Ovis aries: one gene and its partners. The protein of the gene in region 1 interacts with the protein of each later gene in a pairwise test. Links are inferred from orthologs where the notes say so. Each region holds a gene or a part of one and is shown in the gene's direction. Other genes may lie near its edges. The genes, in order: NAPB, STX4, STX16, STX6 and STX5.

The links.
Region 2: the proteins of NAPB (region 1) and STX4 interact in binary tests that used the Homo sapiens proteins (3 or more experiments, as listed by UniProt). The two-hybrid records come from large-scale screens. The link is inferred for Ovis aries from reciprocal best matches to the Homo sapiens genes NAPB and STX4.
Region 3: the proteins of NAPB (region 1) and STX16 interact in binary tests that used the Homo sapiens proteins (3 or more experiments, as listed by UniProt). The two-hybrid records come from large-scale screens. The link is inferred for Ovis aries from reciprocal best matches to the Homo sapiens genes NAPB and STX16.
Region 4: the proteins of NAPB (region 1) and STX6 interact in binary tests that used the Homo sapiens proteins (3 or more experiments, as listed by UniProt). The two-hybrid records come from large-scale screens. The link is inferred for Ovis aries from reciprocal best matches to the Homo sapiens genes NAPB and STX6.
Region 5: the proteins of NAPB (region 1) and STX5 interact in binary tests that used the Homo sapiens proteins (3 or more experiments, as listed by UniProt). The two-hybrid records come from large-scale screens. The link is inferred for Ovis aries from reciprocal best matches to the Homo sapiens genes NAPB and STX5.

What each region holds. Positions count from the first base shown.
Region 1 is NC_056066.1:41,614,638-41,618,150, reverse strand, and holds part of NAPB (beta-soluble NSF attachment protein), read left to right. Parts: intron 1-2,620; coding exon 2,621-2,737; intron 2,738-3,513. UniProt on the Homo sapiens protein: Required for vesicular transport between the endoplasmic reticulum and the Golgi apparatus.
Region 2 is NC_056077.1:27,673,189-27,677,473, forward strand, and holds the start of STX4 (syntaxin-4), read left to right. Parts: upstream 1-1,479; 5' UTR 1,480-1,764; coding exon 1,765-1,794; intron 1,795-1,981; coding exon 1,982-2,083; intron 2,084-2,196; coding exon 2,197-2,296; intron 2,297-2,431; coding exon 2,432-2,506; intron 2,507-3,008; exon of another isoform or gene 3,009-3,233; coding exon 3,234-3,304; exon of another isoform or gene 3,305-4,285. UniProt on the Homo sapiens protein: Plasma membrane t-SNARE that mediates docking of transport vesicles. Necessary for the translocation of SLC2A4 from intracellular vesicles to the plasma membrane.
Region 3 is NC_056066.1:57,386,938-57,390,450, reverse strand, and holds part of STX16 (syntaxin-16), read left to right. Parts: intron 1-110; coding exon 111-276; intron 277-1,310; coding exon 1,311-1,402; intron 1,403-1,950; coding exon 1,951-2,094; intron 2,095-2,695; coding exon of another isoform or gene 2,696-2,713; exon of another isoform or gene 2,714-2,820; intron 2,821-2,826; exon of another isoform or gene 2,827-3,013; intron 3,014-3,463; coding exon 3,464-3,513. UniProt on the Homo sapiens protein: SNARE involved in vesicular transport from the late endosomes to the trans-Golgi network.
Region 4 is NC_056065.1:61,535,928-61,540,120, reverse strand, and holds the start of STX6 (syntaxin-6), read left to right. Parts: upstream 1-1,380; 5' UTR 1,381-1,607; coding exon 1,608-1,642; intron 1,643-4,193. UniProt on the Homo sapiens protein: SNARE promoting movement of transport vesicles to target membranes. Targets endosomes to the trans-Golgi network, and may therefore function in retrograde trafficking.
Region 5 is NC_056074.1:37,649,246-37,652,995, reverse strand, and holds the end of STX5 (syntaxin-5), read left to right. Parts: intron 1-2,504; coding exon 2,505-2,664; 3' UTR 2,665-3,250; downstream 3,251-3,750. UniProt on the Homo sapiens protein: Mediates endoplasmic reticulum to Golgi transport.

The sequences.
Region 1 (3,513 bases):
CTTTCCTAATGAGTCGGCTCTTCGCTTCAGGTGGCCAAAGTATTCAAGCTTCAGGTTCAGCATCGGTCTTTCCAGTGAGTATTCAGGGTTGATTTCCTTTAGGATGGAATGGTTGGATCTCCTTGCTGTCCAAGGGACTCTCAATAGTCTTCTCCAACACCACAGTTCAAAAGCATCTGTTCTTCAGGGCTCAGCCACCTTTATGGTCCATGGTCCAACTTTCACATCCATACATGACTGTTGGAAAAACCAGGATCAGATCCAGTAATAATATGTAAAAAGTGATCTTATCTAAAAAGACCTTTTCCTTTGTTTATCTGGGGACCAGATGTTCTAACCTTTGAAAGTTCCTTTCAGAGGAGTGTTACTGTTTATGTGACTGAAGGGGATATATGTATACCCTCACCCCTACCCTTGTGATCTCTTGCCTGGGCTGACATCTCCCTGCCTCTTGACTTTACCTGTTTGTTTTAATGAAGAAACCAAAGTAGCCCTGTTAAGTCTCTGGTCAGGCCATGTAATCTCAGGGCAGAGCCATAATCCCTCAAGGTGGCCTTCAGAGTCTAGCTGCTCTCCCATCCTCTCCTCACTCTGGACGCTTCTCCTACCTGCCCACTTCTTCCCTGGCTCCCCCTCTGACTCTCTGCCTGTGCTGTCCTCTGACACTGTCTTCCCCACCGTAGGGTGTGGCTAGTCCCTATTTTCCTCCAGGCCCTTCTACAAATGTCATCATCCTCTTAGTGAGGTCTCTCCTGGCCATCCCTGGCGGTCCACTCTCCTGGGAAGCCCCTTCCCCTCTTCCCTGATGCCCTTACCACCATCTAGCAAAAATAAGTGAAGTCCATTTGTTTGTTTGTATTGTCTGTGCTTTTAGTATGTGCTATCCCTCCCTGGAACATAAACCTTGGATGACCAGCGTGTTTCTGGAAGCTTTCTCTCTGCCCTGCCTGCAGGGCCTGGACCCATATGTGCAGCACAGTAGACAGGTGCTCAGTGTATTTTACAGAGTATTAGGTTCCTTGAATTTGGGACTAACAGATACCACAGTTTATAAAATAAACAACAAGGACCTACCGTATGTCACAAGAAACTAAACTAGGTATTTTATAATAGCCTATAAAGGAAAAGAGTCTGAAAATGAATATATATATACACACACACACACACACATATAACTGAAACCGTTTGCTGTACATCAAACTAACACAACATTGTGAATCTACTATACCTCAATTTTAAAAGTGGTTAAAAAAGGAAATAATAAACTGAAAGAAAATTAGGTTCTTTGAAATTGTTTCCATGTTGTGGTGGTAGTGATCATGATACCACTGCATCTCATCTCTTTATAGTTTTAGAAGTTATTTTATGAGGATAAAAGAATTTGTCTGATTTGTCTGCTACTCTGCTCTTGAGAGGTCATCCTGGCAGGAATTAGATGTTTACAGTTGAGGAAACTGGGTCTGAGAATGTGTGTAACTTTATTTTAATAATATGCTCCTTTAAAGATACTTCCACATTGGTAGAGACAGAGGTTAGTGGTGTTTGGACTGAGTGCTCAGATTGAAAAGGTGAGTCAGCAGCTTGTTTTGGAAGGTGGGAGCGTGAAATTGTCAAAGCAGTGCTTTCAATACTGTCCGGGGAAGTGGAGCCAGCCCAGGAGAGCCTGCGTGCTGTGCTGTTACCCCCAGCCAGGAAGGGATGGAACACCATTGGTTCTGGGATGGCCAGCATAGATAAACTGTCAAAAAATGAAATTACTGGTGGGAGGAGGAGAATTAAGTTGTAAAATAAATGATGACATTTCAACCTGGCAAAGCACAGGTGTGCTCTGAGGGCAGATATACATGTAGTTATGGAAATGGCCAGCACGTGAATGTGTTTCTGGGGCCACGCTGTCCTGAGCACTTTGCCTAGGAGGTCCGAGTGATGCTACACACTTCTGAGACCCAGCTCATCAGAGCTGCTCTTGGGCTGTTGCATTCCTGAGCTGTGGTGGGAAGTTTCCAGCTACCCGGAGGTCCTAGGTACCTGCCCACCACTTGGCAGCAGCTTGGACCCTCCTCTGGGCTGCCAGGTTCATGATCCACAAAGGTAGGGGTCAAGGCCTGGTGGGCAGGCTTCTCCAGTCCCCCCTCCAATCTTGGGCCAGCGTTGGCTCAGACTGCCAGGGCCCAGGCTACACTGGTGGGTCCATATCTTCAGAAGTGCCCGGAAGTCCTCTTGTCCTGTGCAGAGCAAGACTTGAAGCGGGGTGGTCTGATCTGGGGGCTTGTGATGCTGCTGCTGCTTGTGTTGCCATTTCTCCGGCTATGCCGGCCGAGTCAGTAGAAATGGATCCTCCCAGCCTCATGCCTCCTCAGAGACGCCCATCAGTGTGGGGCCTGCACTGGGGACGGAGCTGAGTGCTAAGTGCGCAGTCAGTGTGGACGGAGGCCTGAGGCTGAGAGCAGCGCTTGTTGCTGGCCCATTGGGTCCCAGGCATCTTTGTGGCCACCGGCAGTGACCGGGTCACATGCACGTGTGCCACTGTCAGGACGGGGCCTTCCCCAGGCGTGGGCTGGAGTGGGGCTGCCCCGGGGGTGGCTGCTCCTGTGTTGACTCACTCATGTGTCGTCTTCAGCTGCAGGAAATGCATTCTGTCAAGCCGCCAAGCTCCACATGCAGCTGCAGAGCAAACACGACTCAGCCACCAGCTTTGTGGACGCCGGGAACGCCTACAAGAAGGCGGACCCCCAAGGTGAGCCTCGCACCCCCAGACCTCCCACGAGTTCTGCTGCTGGAGGGAGACGCACTCCCCAACTGTGGAGATTTGGAGATTTTTAACCCTGATCATCTGAAGTTTCTGTGGAGAAACTCTGTTAAATTTATCCTGTTGTCAGTACCGTCTTCTGAAACACCATCTATGCTGCATTGTGGACAGTTTTTTGGAAATTAACTTTATCTAAGTCTTCTAATGTTAATTTCATGAGTGTGTACCTTGCCCACTAAGGGAAACAAAGGTTCGTTCCCTTACTTCTGAATAGTTTATGTGGAGATGCAGTGAACGGGAGGTCGTAAAATCCAATAATTACGAACAGTTTATACACACAGCATTCATCTGACTTTTTTAGTATGTGTGCTGCCAAAGCAAGTACTATCTGACTGTATTAAAAAGCATTTTTCCAAGTGTTGGTTTTGAGGAAAGAATGATCTTGGGTATTTGAAGTGGTGAAGTTTTTCAGATGTCCTTTGTTTTTGAGGTGGAGAAGCGTACACTCTGCAGTTGAAGGCCTGACCTCGCTCCACACATGCCCTGTGGTTGTGGGATCGCCCTCCTGTTTCAGCAGCCCATTTAACACAGAAATCCCGAGTTTCCTGACAATCTCACACTGAAATAAGGGCTGTGGTATAAGGATTAGCTGTAGTTTATTTCCAAAGGGGAAAACTGGGCACAGCCCGCATGCACAGTAGAGTCCTTGCACATCAGCATTTAGTGCCACGCCCGCGTGGTGCAGGCACTCAAGCCCTGACGTT
Region 2 (4,285 bases), on another chromosome or scaffold:
CTGGGATCCAGGAGAACTAATATTCCTCTCAGCTATTCTGAGACTCACTGAGTGACTTTGGGGCATCCTTCTATAGAAGGTGGGTTCCAAAAGGGCAAGCCATTCTTGTCTGCCCTGTTATATCTCTGGCCCTAAAACAGTGTCTGGCCCATACAATAAATATCCACTGAATGAATAAATGCCTACAGGGTTAGGGTTAGGGAAGTGTCACCAAAAGCCTGAAGCATAAAAGAGAAGACCAGGGAATCATAAGCTTCATCTTCAGTTATATAAGAGGCTAAGACTCTATCAACAAATATTTACTGAGGGCCTAACATGTGCTGGGGTTCCTAGTTGGTTCAGTGGTAAAGAATCTGTCTGCCAGTGAAGAAGACACAAGAGATGCTGGTTCGATCCTTGGGTTGGGAAGATCCCCTGGAGGAGGAAATGGCAACCCGCTCTGGTATTCTTGCCTGGAAAATTGTATGGGCAGAGGAGCCTGGTGGGCTACAATTTGTGTGTGTTAGTCACTTAGTCGTGTCCGACTCTTTTGTGACCCCATGGACTGTAACCCTCCAGGCTCCTCTGTCCACAATCATGCCCTCACTTTAGTAACTCACAGGCCACGATAATATGTAATATTTTTGTGGGTTCCAGAGGGTAGACCCCCAGTGCAAGGTGGGGGTCTGGGGAGGGGGTTGTCTAAGTGACATGCTGCTCAATGTAACAGACTTTTTTCTAAGCCCGAGCTGCCCTGAAATGCCCTGCTCAAAGGTGGTGAGTGCAGCGGGACTGCAGTGTTCAAGCCGGGCGCCAGCCAGCCGCCCACCTGTCAGAAACTGTGCCAGGAGTATGCGGGAGAAGAGAGTTCCGCCTCGGGTGAGGTCACTTCCCACCCCCAGATGCTCTGCCTACAAAATCTCGCAAGTCTCTGACGCTGTATTTTATTCTTTTCTGAATTTCAAGGTCTCATGATGTTGACAGCTCCAAATTCTAAGTCCTCAGTCTGCCCACACTCGCGGACCCAAAAGAAAGGAAGCCGGATTCAGCCTGGGTCCTACCACCCACTGTCTCTGGGGGTAGTCAGCGCCCCCTCCCCGCCTCGCGGGGGTTCTGAAGAGAGGTAACTCGCGCGCGGGGTGCCGAGGACGTCGTGGGGAGATGGGTGTTCCAGAGATGGAGTTGACAGGGCAGAGACATGTGACAGTCGAAGCGTCACGTTCCGTGGTCTGAGAGGTTGGGACCAGGCCGGTCACATGACGCGCGCGGGGGGGTTTGCACTATGGGGTGATGCGAATTGAGAGGGCCTCACAGATCACGTACCAATGACGCATTCCCACCCCTTTTGGCAACTAGATTTCCGCTGGAAGATGCGATAGTTCCGGCAAAGGGGGCGGGTTCTCACGTCCTGGCAATTTCGCTTCCGTTCGGGGCGCTGAAGCTTCCGACCTCGGCCTTTCCCTGGGGTGGGGAAGGGACGCGATCCGGTGCGCATGCTCCAGTCTTTCCAGAGGGGGCGGGGCTGAGGCTACAGGAGAGGGCGGGGGGAAAGAAAAGGGAATTCCAACCTGTGGAATCTTGGGGGTCCCCGAGGTCGGCTCCTTCCCTTTGAAACTGTGAATGGTGCCAGGGACAGAGCCTCTAGCGACTCTTGGGGGAGGGTTTGGGGCCTGCAGGGTGAGGGCGGAGGGGAGTGTCAGAGTGTGAGTTGGGTACGGGAGTTCCAAACTTAGAATCTTGAGGCCCGCCGGGCTCCGGCGCCGGCGAGAGGGATCTCGGGCCGCCATGCGGGACAGGACCCACGAGCTGAGGCAGGTGAGAATTTGGCGCAGCAGGGTTGGGGACGGGTGGACGGGATGGGGTCTACTGGAATGCAGGACTCCTGGTCCTCGGGGCCGGGAGGGATGACTGTGGGCTAGGAAGGAAAGTCCCGGAAGCCCGTGAGTTCTACTGGGGGAGAGCAGTAGCAAGGAAGTGATGCCAGTGACCCCGGCCCTGGCAGGGGGATGACAGCTCGGACGATGAAGACAAGGAGCGAGTCGCGCTGGTGGTACACCCGGGTACTGCACGGCTGGGGAGCCCGGACGATGAGTTCTTCCAGAAGGTAAGAGGCTGGAGTCTCGGCCTGGATTCACGAGGGGCCTGGAGGGCCCGAGGAGCAGAGCAGCCTGGAGCAGCGCCCACATCTCCCTCAGCCCTCTCGGTCATCGTCCCCAGGTTCGGACAATTCGGCAGACTATCGTCAAGCTAGAGAATAAAGTCCGAGAGTTGGAGAAGCAGCAGGTCACCATCCTGGCCACGCCCCTTCCCGAGGAGAGTGAGTGAAACCCCGGGTGCAGAACGCATGCTCAGCTGGAGGCTTGTGGGGGTTGTAGTTCCACACAGGTGGTGGCCAGGGAGATTTGTTGAGGTAGAGGTTGCTATTTGGGCATCATGGCTTTCTCTTGTTTAGGCATGAAGCAGGACCTGCAGAACCTGCGTGACGAGATCAAACAGCTAGGGAGGGACATCCGCGCGCAGCTGAAGGGTGAGCTCCTAGGACTTTAGCCAGATACTTTCCTCTGATCCTGCCCAACTCCTGGTATTTCTGGGCAGTGTGTGGTCCAGAGAGGCCAGTGATATATATCCAGGTCACACAGCAGGCCAACGTCTAGAATCTCCATCTCCTGGCTTTCGGTCCAAAGTTCTTTCCACAGCATATGCCTGCCTCTCAAGTTCCCTTATTTATAATGAAACCATGTCCATTTGATCTTTGTCCAAGGCAGAGGTTAGCGTTGCTACCTCCACCTTCAGGTCGTTATCTGCATATAACTGTATAGTCTGCCGTCCACATCCCAGGTTCTGCAAGGGTGGATTCATGCAGTCATGGATTGTGTAGTACTGTAGTATGCATTTATTTTCTAAAAATTCAGGTATAAGTGGACCCACAGTTGTGCAAGGATCATCTGTACTCCTACAATTCTTGCTGCCCAGTGTGTATTCTTTGGGTGGGAAGATGTGGGTTTTGTTAGGAAGCTTCTCCAAACATGTGGGAATTCTCTGATGTATTTATTGCAAAGAAAAATATACTTTTGCCTGTCAGAGGCTCAAGAGTAGTCATTTATGATGAATTTTATTTCAAAAAAAAAGCTCTGTGGAGATATTGTATCTCTCTCTATTGTATGGCTGCATGGCTGGGTCCCAGTCCCCAAATGAATTTCAGAAGCCAGAGGTCAAACCCCCTCCTCTACCAATACTTCTGTGTCTTTCCACAGCCATAGAGCCCCAGAAGGAGGAAGCTGATGAGAATTATAACTCCGTCAACACAAGAATGAGAAAAACCCAGGTGGGTTCATTATTCCCAGAAGTAGGACATTTCAGCAAGTGTTCAATAGATCATTAGATGGCAGATGTAAGAAGGCAGGGCTCTTAGAGATCATTAAATCCAACCTGATGATTTTCCAAATGAGGAAACTGAGGCTCAGAGATAAAAAAGGATTTACCCCAAGGTCAAGAACCCGGGTTTCCTGACTTCCAATCTGTTATAACACCTTGCCTTCTTCTCCTCCATTCAGTGAGAAGTTGCTGAGACCCCAGACATGATCTGGGCTTGGTTGTAGGAGATATACTTTCTAGAAGCCAAGATGGGGAGTTAAGCTTGCATAGATGACAAAGACATTACTCAGGTAGGACTTGGTAGTTAATGGCTCTGCCCAGGGAAAAAAAGGGTGCAGTCAAGTGACTGGGTGGTTTCCTACCCATGTGATGAGGACATCCTCTGCCCCAAGGACAGAATTCAAGTCAGGAAGAGGAACTTCCCTGGTGTGTGTGTATGGGGAAGGTCACTGAATCATCATCTTAATAAGGAGATTTGAAATGGTCTGAGCAGTGTCCTCTGGGTGCCCAGAGAGGCATGGTTTGGAGTTCTTGGAGGTCAGAGTTGGAGTAGGTGGGCCCAGAAATCAGCAAAGACCCCAGATTGAAGATTAAACAATTTGGGGATTTTTTTTTTAATGGAAGAGAAGGAAAGAGTAGTTTTATTACTTTGCCAAACAAAGGGGGGAACACAGTAGGCTAGTGCCTCAAGAACTGCCCCCCCACAATTTGGGCATCTTGAAAGGGTGCAACTGAACCCAGGACAGCAGATGTGTCCTGGAGAAAGGAACTCCAAGGAATGAGCAGATTTTAGGCATCAGGAAAATGGACAAGCAGGGAAGGCATTTACAGGGGGTGGGGGGCTTGTGGTAGTCATTGTGTGAGAGGCTGAGTGCCCAGGTGGGCCTGCAAAATCTGGGAAATGCAAAATCCTGGCACACCTTTAGTCTAA
Region 3 (3,513 bases), about 16 Mb from region 1:
CTGGCCATCCTCAGTGCCAGCCTGCGTGGCCAGAGCCGCTGTGTGTCTCAGTCCGGCATGCAGGCACCTCGGGGCCCCCGGCCCACTGTGAGCACCCCCTGTCCTCCCAGCTCTTCCATAGGTGTCAGCGTGCGGTACAGGCGCTGCCCAGCCGGGCCCGCCGGGCCTGCTCAGAGCAGGAGGAGCGGCTCCTCCGAAACGTGGTGGCCTCGCTGGCCCAGGCCCTGCAGGAGCTGTCCACCAGCTTCCGGCATGCACAGTCCAGCTACCTCCGACGTGAGTGTCCACCTGCGCCAGGCTCTCAAGTGACGAGCGTCCCAGTGCTCAGGTCACAGAACAACTCTGTGTTTCTGTCCTCCTCTTCTGCTAGTTCTCCGTTTTGTCCTTTGCTTTTTTCGTGGTTAGCCTTTGCATATCCTCCTACTTCACGAGGTAGAAGGTAGCTCCTTCTGCCCCCAGTGGTAGCCACATCGAGGTTGAGACCACCCCACGGGGCATTGACAGTCCTCCTCTAAAAAAACAAAAGAGAAACTTACTCTTTTGTCAAGTTTAAAGTATTCGAAAATCAATGTTGCATATTTTAAAAGCATGTCGTTTTCTAGGTGTTAGGCTTGCGGGAGCTGCTGATAAATGGGTAAAAATAGTTGTAATCATGTTGAAGCTTCTTTGCCTATCTGTCTTAACACCTTACCTGGTAATAGTTAAAACAGACACATTCTCTCCCAGCCTCCCTTCCTTCCCAAATAGAGCAAAGTCAGGTTTCAGCTACATCCTCATTCAGAGCACCCATAAACTGGCTTTTTCTGTATTGCCATTGTAATCAATGATATCCCCATAGGCTCCCCCAAAAGCTAGTTCTCCCTCCCGACAACTGCCATATTTGTGTTTGTGCTTTCATTTTGCTACTTCTAAAATTTGATTAGGGCCACTTGGAATTCTTACCAGAGGTACTTTTAGAGAGAAATACTTAATGTTTTAAATGCTTTTTAACAGCAGTTAAATGTTTCTGCTTCACTTAGAGAGTCTCAGATGATGGTGTTGCAGTGTCATTTACCTGGCATCCAGTGAATTATTCACATTTGCAGTGTGATTTCTGTCCTAAGTAACCCTGAGTGCTTGCCTGCTGTTGCATGGTTGTGGTCCTTTATTGTCCCCCATCTCTGCTGGAGGTGAGCAGGGCTTCTTCTAAAGTGGCCAAGAATGTCTCCATTTTGACTGTTGAGTTTTACTCTAGATGCCCCCTTTTAATGGTGGAACAGTAACCAGGATGGTTTACGTATTCAAGTAAAGTGAATTCCTGTCCACGATAGGCATGAAGAATCGAGAGGAAAGATCCCAGCATTTTTTTGCTACATCAGTGCCGCTGATGGACGATGGCGAGGATAATACTCTGTATGACCGGGTATGTGTCGGGGCCACAGACCCGCCCACTGCGCATGTGCGCTCCGCTCTGCTCTCTTCTCTTTGCGGACCTTTAACTTCCCTGAGACACAGATGGATCGGCACTGCATGGCGTGCACGTCTGTCAAGTGCTCTGCAGCTGGCGGGAGAACAGTCATGGGGGCCATACTGTTTCTTCCTTTCTAAAGACTGCACGGAGACCTTGTCAGCTGCCTTCCAGAACCTTCTGGAAAACAGTCTGCACACCCCACTCCCAGGAAGAACCCTGAGCCGCACAGGCTTCTCCCTGGTGCTTTTGCCACTTGGCCCTGGGGTTGCTGCTGACAGGGGGTTCTCTGTATCCCCCGCTTTGGCTGGTGATGCTTTAGAGCCTGCTGTTTCAGGGAGATCAGATCTTTCTTGTTAGGGAAAAAATAAGTGCTTGTGTGTTGTGTGCTCTATGGAAATGGTTTCAGATTTTATTTTCTTTAAGTTATATCTAAAATGGTACACCATCACTTTCTTGGGAAGAAATCTAACGTGCACGTTTCGTCCTCTTTGTTTGGCTAGGGTTTTACAGACGAGCAGCTAGTGCTGGTGGAGCAGAACACACTGCTGGTGGAGGAGAGGGAGCGGGAGATCCGCCAGATCGTGCAGTCCATCTCCGACCTGAACGAGATATTTAGGGACCTGGGAGCCATGATCGTAGAACAGGTATGTGCGTTTACCTGCCTCATCGGTGGGCTCTCCTGCCCTGATACCTCATTCTTCCCCAGGCTTTTCGATTCTGCACTTTTGTCAGGAAAGCAGTTGGAACCCATTCCTTCTGTGTATATACAGTGTGTTTGCTCAGTCGTGTCCGATTCTTTGTGACCCCATGGATTATAGCCCGCCAGGCTCCTCTCTCGGTGGGATTCTCCCAGGCAAGAATACTGGAGTGGGTTGCCGTTTCCTACTCCAGGGAGTTTTCCCAACTCACTATGTATGTGTGTATGTATATATGTGTACAAATTATATGCAGACTGCTGTCATGCCCCATAAAAATACTAATAAACTATTTTTTAGATGAGAAACAGGTGTCAGTGACAGTACTCACGTCCTCTGCCTCCATCCCAGGGCTGTTGCCAGGAGCCTCCGTGCCGGGGGCCTGGCTGGCTCTGGCCACGCTCAGCGGTGATTCTGACGATGGATAAGTTTTCCCATCTAATTTTGGCAGGTTATTGTGTAACGGCAACTGGAACCACTAGCCCTCAAGTAGAATTAGATTGTTTGTTCACTGTTACAATCTGATTAGGGTGTTTTATTATCTTGCCAGTGGGGATTTGGGTCCTGATCCCCCGGAACCAGCTGCAGACTGGAGCAGACAAGGCTGTGGAAGATCTAGTTAGGTTAATTACTCCCGTGGCTCTCATGGAACTGTTAGCGCTATCGTCTCTCCTGACACAGCACACTTCTGTTCAGAGCCCCATCCTTCCGTGGAGCCTGGTGTTCCCTTCTTCCTGTTTGAACCCAGCAATTAAAAAATTACAAGCAAAACTCTCCTGGAGGTGAACGTGTGATTTTACATGGTGTGTTGGAGGCAGCTGTGTTTGCTTTGACGCATGGAGGCGCGTGGAGATGCTCAGACATGATAGTAAGTTTCCAGACCTCGTTCTAATCAGGTCCAGCTTAACTGGCCTTCTCTGGTTCCTTGAACCTGTGAGTTTAAGCCACAGATGGGCACAGAAGCAAGCCCTTCACCACTCAGAGCCTGTTTCCACTGAACCATATATTTCTTAAAGCCCCAGTAAGCCTGAATATGGAGTGTCCTGTAGTGGCTAAATCCAAAAAAGAAACCTCAATTTGTCAGTATTTTCTTCTCATGAGCTGGGCTTTCCTGCAGCTAACGGCAGCACTCTGCCACTGAGCACCTCTCTCTGCTTGTTATGGACTCCAGAGCTGACAGGGTGTCCCTTTACCTCACAGTCAAGTAGAACAGATAATCCTGTGGATGACGATGCCTGCAATCTGCATCTCTCATTTCTGAAGCTCCATTTTCCCAGTTGCGCTTGTTGATTGTCTGTGACTGTCATTTATCACCCAGGGTACCGTCCTTGATAGAATCGACTATAATGTTGAGCAGTCCTGTATCAA
Region 4 (4,193 bases), on another chromosome or scaffold:
CCTCCAGGGTCTCAGAGAAGCCTGGAGTCTGATTTTCACCTCTCTCCCCCTTAACCCCATTCAGCCTTTCACCACGTCTAGGTGTTTTTGTTTTTCCTTGGAAATACCTATCAGATTGTCTGCTTCCTCTCCATTTACAATTGCTCTGCTGTCCTATTCTGGTCCTCAGCCCTTCAGGCTGGATGACCACAGCAGCTTCCAGACTAGTTTCCCTGACTTCACTGCCTTACTTCCTTGGGGCCTTGGGGTTTCCGTGCATTTTTATTTAACCCTCACAACGATCCACAAGCTAAATATTATTGTGCACGCTTTATAGATGAGGGACTGAATAACAGAACTCAGGTTCAAACAGGATTTGTCTGGTTCAAAGGACTCTTCCATCTCCAAAAAGACTGGTACTTTAAGCAAGTCACTTAACCTGCAAGAGTCTCAGATTTCTCATTTGTAAAATGGGGATAACAACAGTAATTACCTCCTGAGAGCAACTGAGATAACACTCGCACAGTGCCTGACATACAGGAAGTGCTCAAAGATAATCAGCAATTAATGTTCACAAACCCCATAGCATATCTAGCATATGAATTTGATAACTGTTCTGACCAAAATACTTTTGGGAAGTGCTTTTGAACCATTTAGCTCAGAAGAAGTTGCCATATCTGGCCCCTCCTTTGTCCCTCAAAAGTTCTTTCTCCTGGGAAGCATCACATGCTGTATGAAAAAATTATCTTACTGGTCACTTCGAGAAAGGTACACAGCAATAGAAAACACAGCCGTCTGGTGGAAAGTGCACAGATTCTCTGATTGCCCTGTCCAGGTTGTATCTCGAAGCCTCTTTGAACTTTTCTCATCTACTAAATGGTAATAATACCTTCCCCCCAAGAATATTGAGATGATGTACATACAGCCTTCAGCGCATTGTTGGATATAGTAAGACCTACATAAAGTTGTGCAATATAGTCAGATAATGTATACGAGCAGGCTTTATTGTAAGTGGAGGACGAGATGGATTTCTAAATCAATATGTTTTCAAAATCAAGTATCAAAAGTAGAGGAAAGGTGAAAGAATTATGCAAAGGAGATACTAATGCATACCTAGGACACCTGAATGCCTTTCCCGCGTAGGGACAAGCAGCTCCGGCCCCTGAATCCTGAGGGGCGAGTGGAGAGAATACCCGCCCTCTTCCGCCGCCCCCAGAGCCCCGCCTCCAGGGTCGTGTGACAAGGTGCCTAGGACCCGGCAACGAGGGGCGGGGTCGGCAGTGATCACGTGTGCACGGGTGCGGAAGTGGTGCGGCGGATGGCGTTCGTGATTGGCCGAGGCTGAGGAACCTGGGGGCGGAGCCAGGCGGCCGGACGCTCCGGGAGGAGTCGGGGGAGGGTACAGCCGCGGGGCCGGCTCCAGAGTCTGGATTTGGTCTGCAGTGCCCATCGAGTGCTGGACCAGCGGCTGGCCGGTGCACCCCGCCCTGCGCGCGCAGAGGCTTCGGGACCCTCAGGCCGAGGCGCGGGCCGCTACGCGAGGCGCATAGGGTGGGCAGAGGGAAATTTGGAGGGCGCGGGCGCCCTGTGCGCGGAGCAAACGTGAGGCGGCCGGGGGCCGGGACGCCATGTCCATGGAGGACCCCTTCTTTGTGGTGAAAGGGTGAGTGTTGCCGAGGGCTCCACTGGAAGAGGCGGTGGCCGTGCTGCCTGCCCGCACCTCCCCGCCTCTCCTCGTTGTAGGGGGGATGGGAGGCAAGTAGAGGCTGGCGTGGGGACAGTGGGGACGGCTTAGCCTGGAGGGCCATGATCAAGTGTCCAGAGACCTCCCTTTCCCGTCCTACCTGAACTTTGAAACCCACGCCCCCAGTCAAGCCCCTGGGAAGGGGGTCCCCTTTGGCCTGTGCGCTGCCCTATAACTTGTTTGAACGGGAGGAGGGGTTCAGCATTTCTGCAGGTGGGAAGGGAGCTTAGGCGTCCCAGACCAAACTGGGGCTTTAGTGGAGCACGGGGCCCTGCTTCGAAGGGGGAAAAACAGCATCTGGGCAGGAAAAGGGAAATGGCCCTCCTGAGCTTTGTAGTTGGCGTAGACGGGGGTGAGCTCCTATTGTCCATTGAGTTCGGAGCGCTGGCCCCGCAGACTGGTGAGACCACAACATGCCCAGAGGCGTCTGAGCACGTTAGCAGGCTTGGAGGCGGGGGCGCCTGGCTCCGGAAGACGACTCAATTCAGTGGGGGAGTTTTTACTGAGTAATGGGAGGGGAGGAAAGCAGCCGTTCAAACTCAGTGATGATGTTGGAAGGAAAACAAAATGAAATCAGCCAAACTAAACTTTCCTTAGCTTTCTGTTAGCACTGGGTTTTTCCCACAGTGCTAAAGGAAATGAGCGCTTGCTTTTTAACTCCCTGATTTCATCCAGGCTGTTTGACAGGTTTCCCCCATTTCTTCCTCTGCCTTTCAGACTCGAATAGCCTTAAACTTATTTTTCTCTGTGAGCTGTCGTGACTCCATCTTTGATTGCTCAGTTGTTTGCAGATACCCAGAAACTTGGCACTCTGTTACATAGGCTTTGTAGCCATTAAACAAATTCAGGGAAGATGGATCTTGTTGTTACAACTTTTGTTTTAAATGTCAAACACGTTAAAAATTTGAGAACTGCAAAGTTCCTGAGAGATCAGTGCTAATCACCCTAAAGTACTGCTTTGCTTTCAGCTAGTTCCTAGCTCCCTATTTCTATTTCTGTAAGGGTAAAAGCTGACCAGTTGCTTGAGGGTGTATGTGATTTTTTTTTTTTTAAAGGTTCTTCTAAGAAAATTTAAGTGATACTCTAGGTGAAATACTTTATTATCCATGATACAGTAAGATACATTTATATATATTTTAACATTTCCCTAAATATTTTTGCCTTTACCTGACTTTAGGTGGGAAAATCTGAGTTTAGATGATTAATAATACATAGATCTCTACCTGGAAAATGTTATTAGAAGAATTGATTTTTTTTTAGGGGTTAATTTTTAAATGTGAAAGCTGTGTGTTTTTCCTTTAAACATTCTTAATTCTTAGGTTTCAAAGGTTATGTCTGGCAGTGGAGGCTGTAGATAATCAAAATTTTTTGTTTCATTTTAAAATGGAATTTGTGAAAATGCTAAATTGCTCTGCCATCTTGACTTTTTTTCCTGATAGTACAGTTTGCCAGGGCTTGCTCACTGATTAGATATCACTGCTTTATTGGAACATTGGTCAGGAGTCTTGTTTGACTTGTACATTGTTTTAGCTCATATCTTTAAGATATTAAAACCTTTTGCTATGGAGAAGTAAAATTAACTACATGTCTCCAGATAATGTGGTGAAATATATGGGGAGCCATGTACCTCTGTTTATTAAAAGTTTTGAAAATACACTCACTGCATGATGTGGAAAAATGAAAGAAGCCTAAATTGTGACCTTTAGCCTAGGAGCTGGTAGTCTAATCTGAGAAACAAGTCACCCAATAATTAAGTAGAAATGACTGGTGGAAATGGTTAAGTGCTGAAGTGAATCCTACAGATGATTAAGTCCCCTAGTAGTTTGGAGAAAGGCATCCCATTAGGACAGGTTACAATTGGAAAAGCTTTGGACGTAGTAGCAGGTCTTGAATTGGGTTTTGAAGATGGGTATCACTTAGGTGATTCAGTCCTGGGTGTCTTTCCTGGACTCATCAAGAAGAGTTTCTAATTGGTCTTCCTGCTTCCAGTCTCTTTCCTCTTGCGTCTGCCTTGGTTTTGTTGGACGAGTGTTCTCCAGAATGCAGTGTGAGCCACACATGCCATTTTACATTTCCTAGTAGACACAGGGAAAGTGAAAAACATGTAAAGTTAATTTTAATGTCATCGATAACCTGATATAGTCAAAATATTTCAACATGATAATTATAAAGATTATTAACGAAGACTCTCACCCTTTTTGTGCTGTCTTCAAATCTGGTGTGTGTTTTACACTTACAGCACATCTCAATTTGGATGCTGAATTTTCATCAGAGACACTTGATCTGTTTTTAGAATCCGTTAAACTTACAGTTGAAAAAGTAGATTCACATACCCAAACTGTTCCAAGTATATTTTTAAAATTTTTGGTAAGTGCATTTGAGTATCAGTTTTAAATTTTAAATTAATTAAAATTTAAAACTTAGTGCCACAGTCAGGCTGGTGTAGTTCGGCAGTCACATGTGGCGTCCA
Region 5 (3,750 bases), on another chromosome or scaffold:
ACTTCCCTGGTGGTCCAGTGGCTAAGACTCTGCACTCCCAGTGCAGGGGGCCTGGGTTCAATCCCTCGTCAGGGAACTAGATCCCACACGCTGCAACTAAGAGATCTTGCGTGCCGAAACTAAGACCTGGTGCAGCCAAATAAATATTTTAAAACAAATAAAGAACAATAAATAAACAAGGCTGTGTGCATGTAAAAAAAAAAAAGTAGGTGCAAACATCATGACAGTTTTTTCAAACATCGTGTGTTATCCCCAGATACTTCAGCAAGCATCTGCCAAGAATAAGTATTTCTCCTGAACAGCCACAATATCATGAAGTGAAAGTGAAGTCACTCAGTCCTGTCCGACTCTTTGCGAGCCCGTGGACTGTAGCCCACCAGGTTCCTCTGTCCATGGGATTCTCCAGGCAAGAACACTAAAGTGGGTTGCCATTTCCTTCTCCAGGGGATCTTCCCAACTGAGAGATCGAACCTGGGTCTCCTGCATTGCAGGCAGATGCTTTACCCTCTGAGCCACCATCAAACCTAAGAAATTGAACACTTCTCCAACACAACCCAATAATCAATCCATACTCAGATTTCCCCAACTCTTCGAAAAAAATTTAGCCTTTTCCTTTCAATTTAAGATTTAGACAACATTCATACATTGAATTGTTGTGTCTCTTTAGTCTGCCTTTTTGAGTGTGTGTGATAATTTACTTTGTTTTTAAGAGACCAGTACCTCTTATACAAAGTCATAGACATGTTTTTGTCCGATGTTTGTCCCTCTGATTAAATTAAGTTCAGTAGTTTCAGCCATCCCTGTAGGCAGTCATATCAGTAGACACTTGATGAGGTTCTCTTTATTGGTGATACCCTGTTTGGTCTCTTGTTCAAGGTGGTGACACTCAGACTTAAGTCATCAGTGGAGTGACACTTTGAGTCCTCTGTGCACTGTTTGTCCCTATGATTAAGTTCAGTACTTTCGGCCGGCTGTGTAGGTGATCACATCAGGAAGCACTTGATGAGGTTACCTCTTTATCGGCCTGCTGGTGATCCTTGTCTGATTTGTTTGAGAGTGTGTGTGGCAAAATGGTCATTTTCTAATTTGCTCATTTCTTCTACGTTAATTAGCTTATATTCTTCCATAAAGAAGGAACTTCCTCTCTTTAAAATTACTATTGAGTGATAGTAACTTCTTCCCTTGCACTAGTTTTCATTCACAGACTCCCATTTAAAATCTTTTATATGCCAGATTGCATTCATCATTCTTCCATTTTTGTTAAGTGAAGCCATTATAATTGCCAATATGATTGAGCTTTATTGGGTATGAGATGACAAGTGCATCCACACTGAGAAATGTAATTATACCAAAAACTAGGGAACCTAATACTTTAGCCTCTCTGACATAAATAGGGAGTCATGTAGAATCCAGGCTTCTGCATTTGGACAGAGATTAGGTTGTCATTCTCCTGACCACCTTACCAGGAACTTGGGCTTGCAGCCAGTGGCCCAGCCTTTCCTCTCACTTTCTTCCTTGATTATCAGGCTCCACCAACTTTTCTGACCTCACAGCTCCTAAAGGTCCCTGCTTCCAGTGACTCCCTTTGCAAAGACCAGGGTTTATATTTGGTTTTTAGGATTGTATATGCAGATTAGCTGGGAAATGTTTGATTTTCCTCAGCAATGTCTCAAGTGATTGCCATTCTTCTGAGGGCTTCTCTATATCCTAAGAGACATGTTCTAATATAGGGCTTTTCTCATCCCTTGATGTTCTGTCCATATCATCAGGTTCTTCCTTTCTCACTTAGAATAAGGGTTTCCTGACCATGATTTTCTGTAACCTTTCCCCCCTTATTACAAATCAGTACTGTTTATTAGAGGCTTCCCAGGTGGCCCTAGTGGCCTGCCCATGCAGGAGACGCAAGAGACACAGGTTCAAGCCCTGGTTGGGGAGATCCCGTGGAGAGGGAAATGGCAACCAGCTCCAGTATTGCTACCTGGAAAATCCCCTGGACAGAGGAGACTGGCTGGCTTCAGTCCATGAGGTTGCAAAGAGTTGGACACAACTGACCACATATTGTTACTTAGACAAAAATTAGTAAATACCGATGAGCAAAAAGTTATGTAGACATTTTGGATTCTCTTAGTATGGGTTGGGCACTTTTATATAACTCGCTTAGGCCTGACAAGGAACCTAGGATTTATATTATCTCGTTTTTTCTTCCTTTGCAGTTGAGGGAAATGAGACTTGAGGTTAAATGAGTGGCTTAGGTTCATTAGCTAATAAGTTGCAGAGCCAAGAATTGTTATATTACCCTTCCAGAGCTTTTTCCTCTATGTGTTCATGCTGAATTACTTCAGTTGTGTCTGACTCTGTGGGACCCATGGACTATAGCCCGCCAGGCTCCTCTATCCAGGGGATTTTTTAGGCAAGAATATATACATACATAAAAAATAAAATTCAACAGCAGTCTTTTTAATCCAACATTCTTCTCTTTCCCCTCCTCCCGAACCTATCCTCAGGATCGACGAGAATGTGTTGGGAGCCCAGCTGGACGTGGAGGCCGCCCACTCAGAGATCCTCAAGTACTTCCAGTCGGTCACGTCCAACCGGTGGCTCATGGTCAAAATCTTCCTCATCCTCATTGTCTTCTTCATCATCTTCGTGGTCTTCCTTGCCTGAACCCTCTCCACTCTGAGGCACTCCATGGGGGTTTGGAACCCTTCTGGGAGGGCAGGTGGCCAGAGCTGCCACTGAGCCTGTGCAGGGTGCTTGGGAGAAGGGCCCTGTTTCCTTGGAACTGCTAAGAATGACCACTGCCCTCGGTCCCCCACTCCTTGCCTCTGGCCACCCAGCCCTCCCCTCACCACCCTCCAGCCCATGAAACACACACGGTTCTGGATTTGGACTCTGCTGTGAAGTGGCTGGAAAGGAGCAGAGGCCAACTGAGGGGCTCGTCCGGGAGATTGTCTCCACCAGGAGATTTTTATAAACCCTCCCCAGCCTGTCGCAAAGGGAACTTTGGCAGCAAGGGGAGATGATGCCTTTCCCCACCTTCCTGAGAGCAAGGAGAGGAAGTGAAACTGCCCCAGGGACCAACTTTCCCATCTGGGTTAGAATTTGACTTCTTCCTCTCCACGACATGAGGCAGGGGGCCCTGAGCCCCTCGGCGGCCTGCACAACCCCAACTTTGGCTGCAGGTGACTCTCAATCTGCCAAACGTGCTGCAGCCCGTTTTCTCCCAATTACAGCAAGACTGTCAGCCTCACTAGCCATGTCGTCATTTCTGGGTGGGAGCGCCGAAGAAGGGCCTAGGCAGAAATGGAGGGAGCCTGCTGCCCAGTATTACAACTGAAAGGGCTGGACTGATGACCCTGAGGGGCCAGGCTTTGGGCTCTGTATACACAGCTGCTTCCAGCAGGCCTAACCCAGTGCAGCAGTACTTAATTATCATGGAAAATTCCCTTCAAAGCAGGGTATACGATCCCAGAGTGGGTCTCTGATTAGTGGTAACTTCTAGGACCATCTCCAGAAGTATTTGGACCTGTTTCATCTGCATCTTCCAGTCCTACCGTTTTCCTTGGGCTGGATGAAGCAGGAGTTCTGCCTGCTGCCAGGAGTGAAAGGTGAAGAATTTGTTCCCAGCTCCAGCTGAGGCTCTTGGTCCCCTCTTGAAGCCCCTCACCAAATCCAAACCAGTCACAGGAGAATGAAGTAGAGATCTGCCTGGAATACCTACCCTACCCTGGAAGGTCAATATGCTTGTCA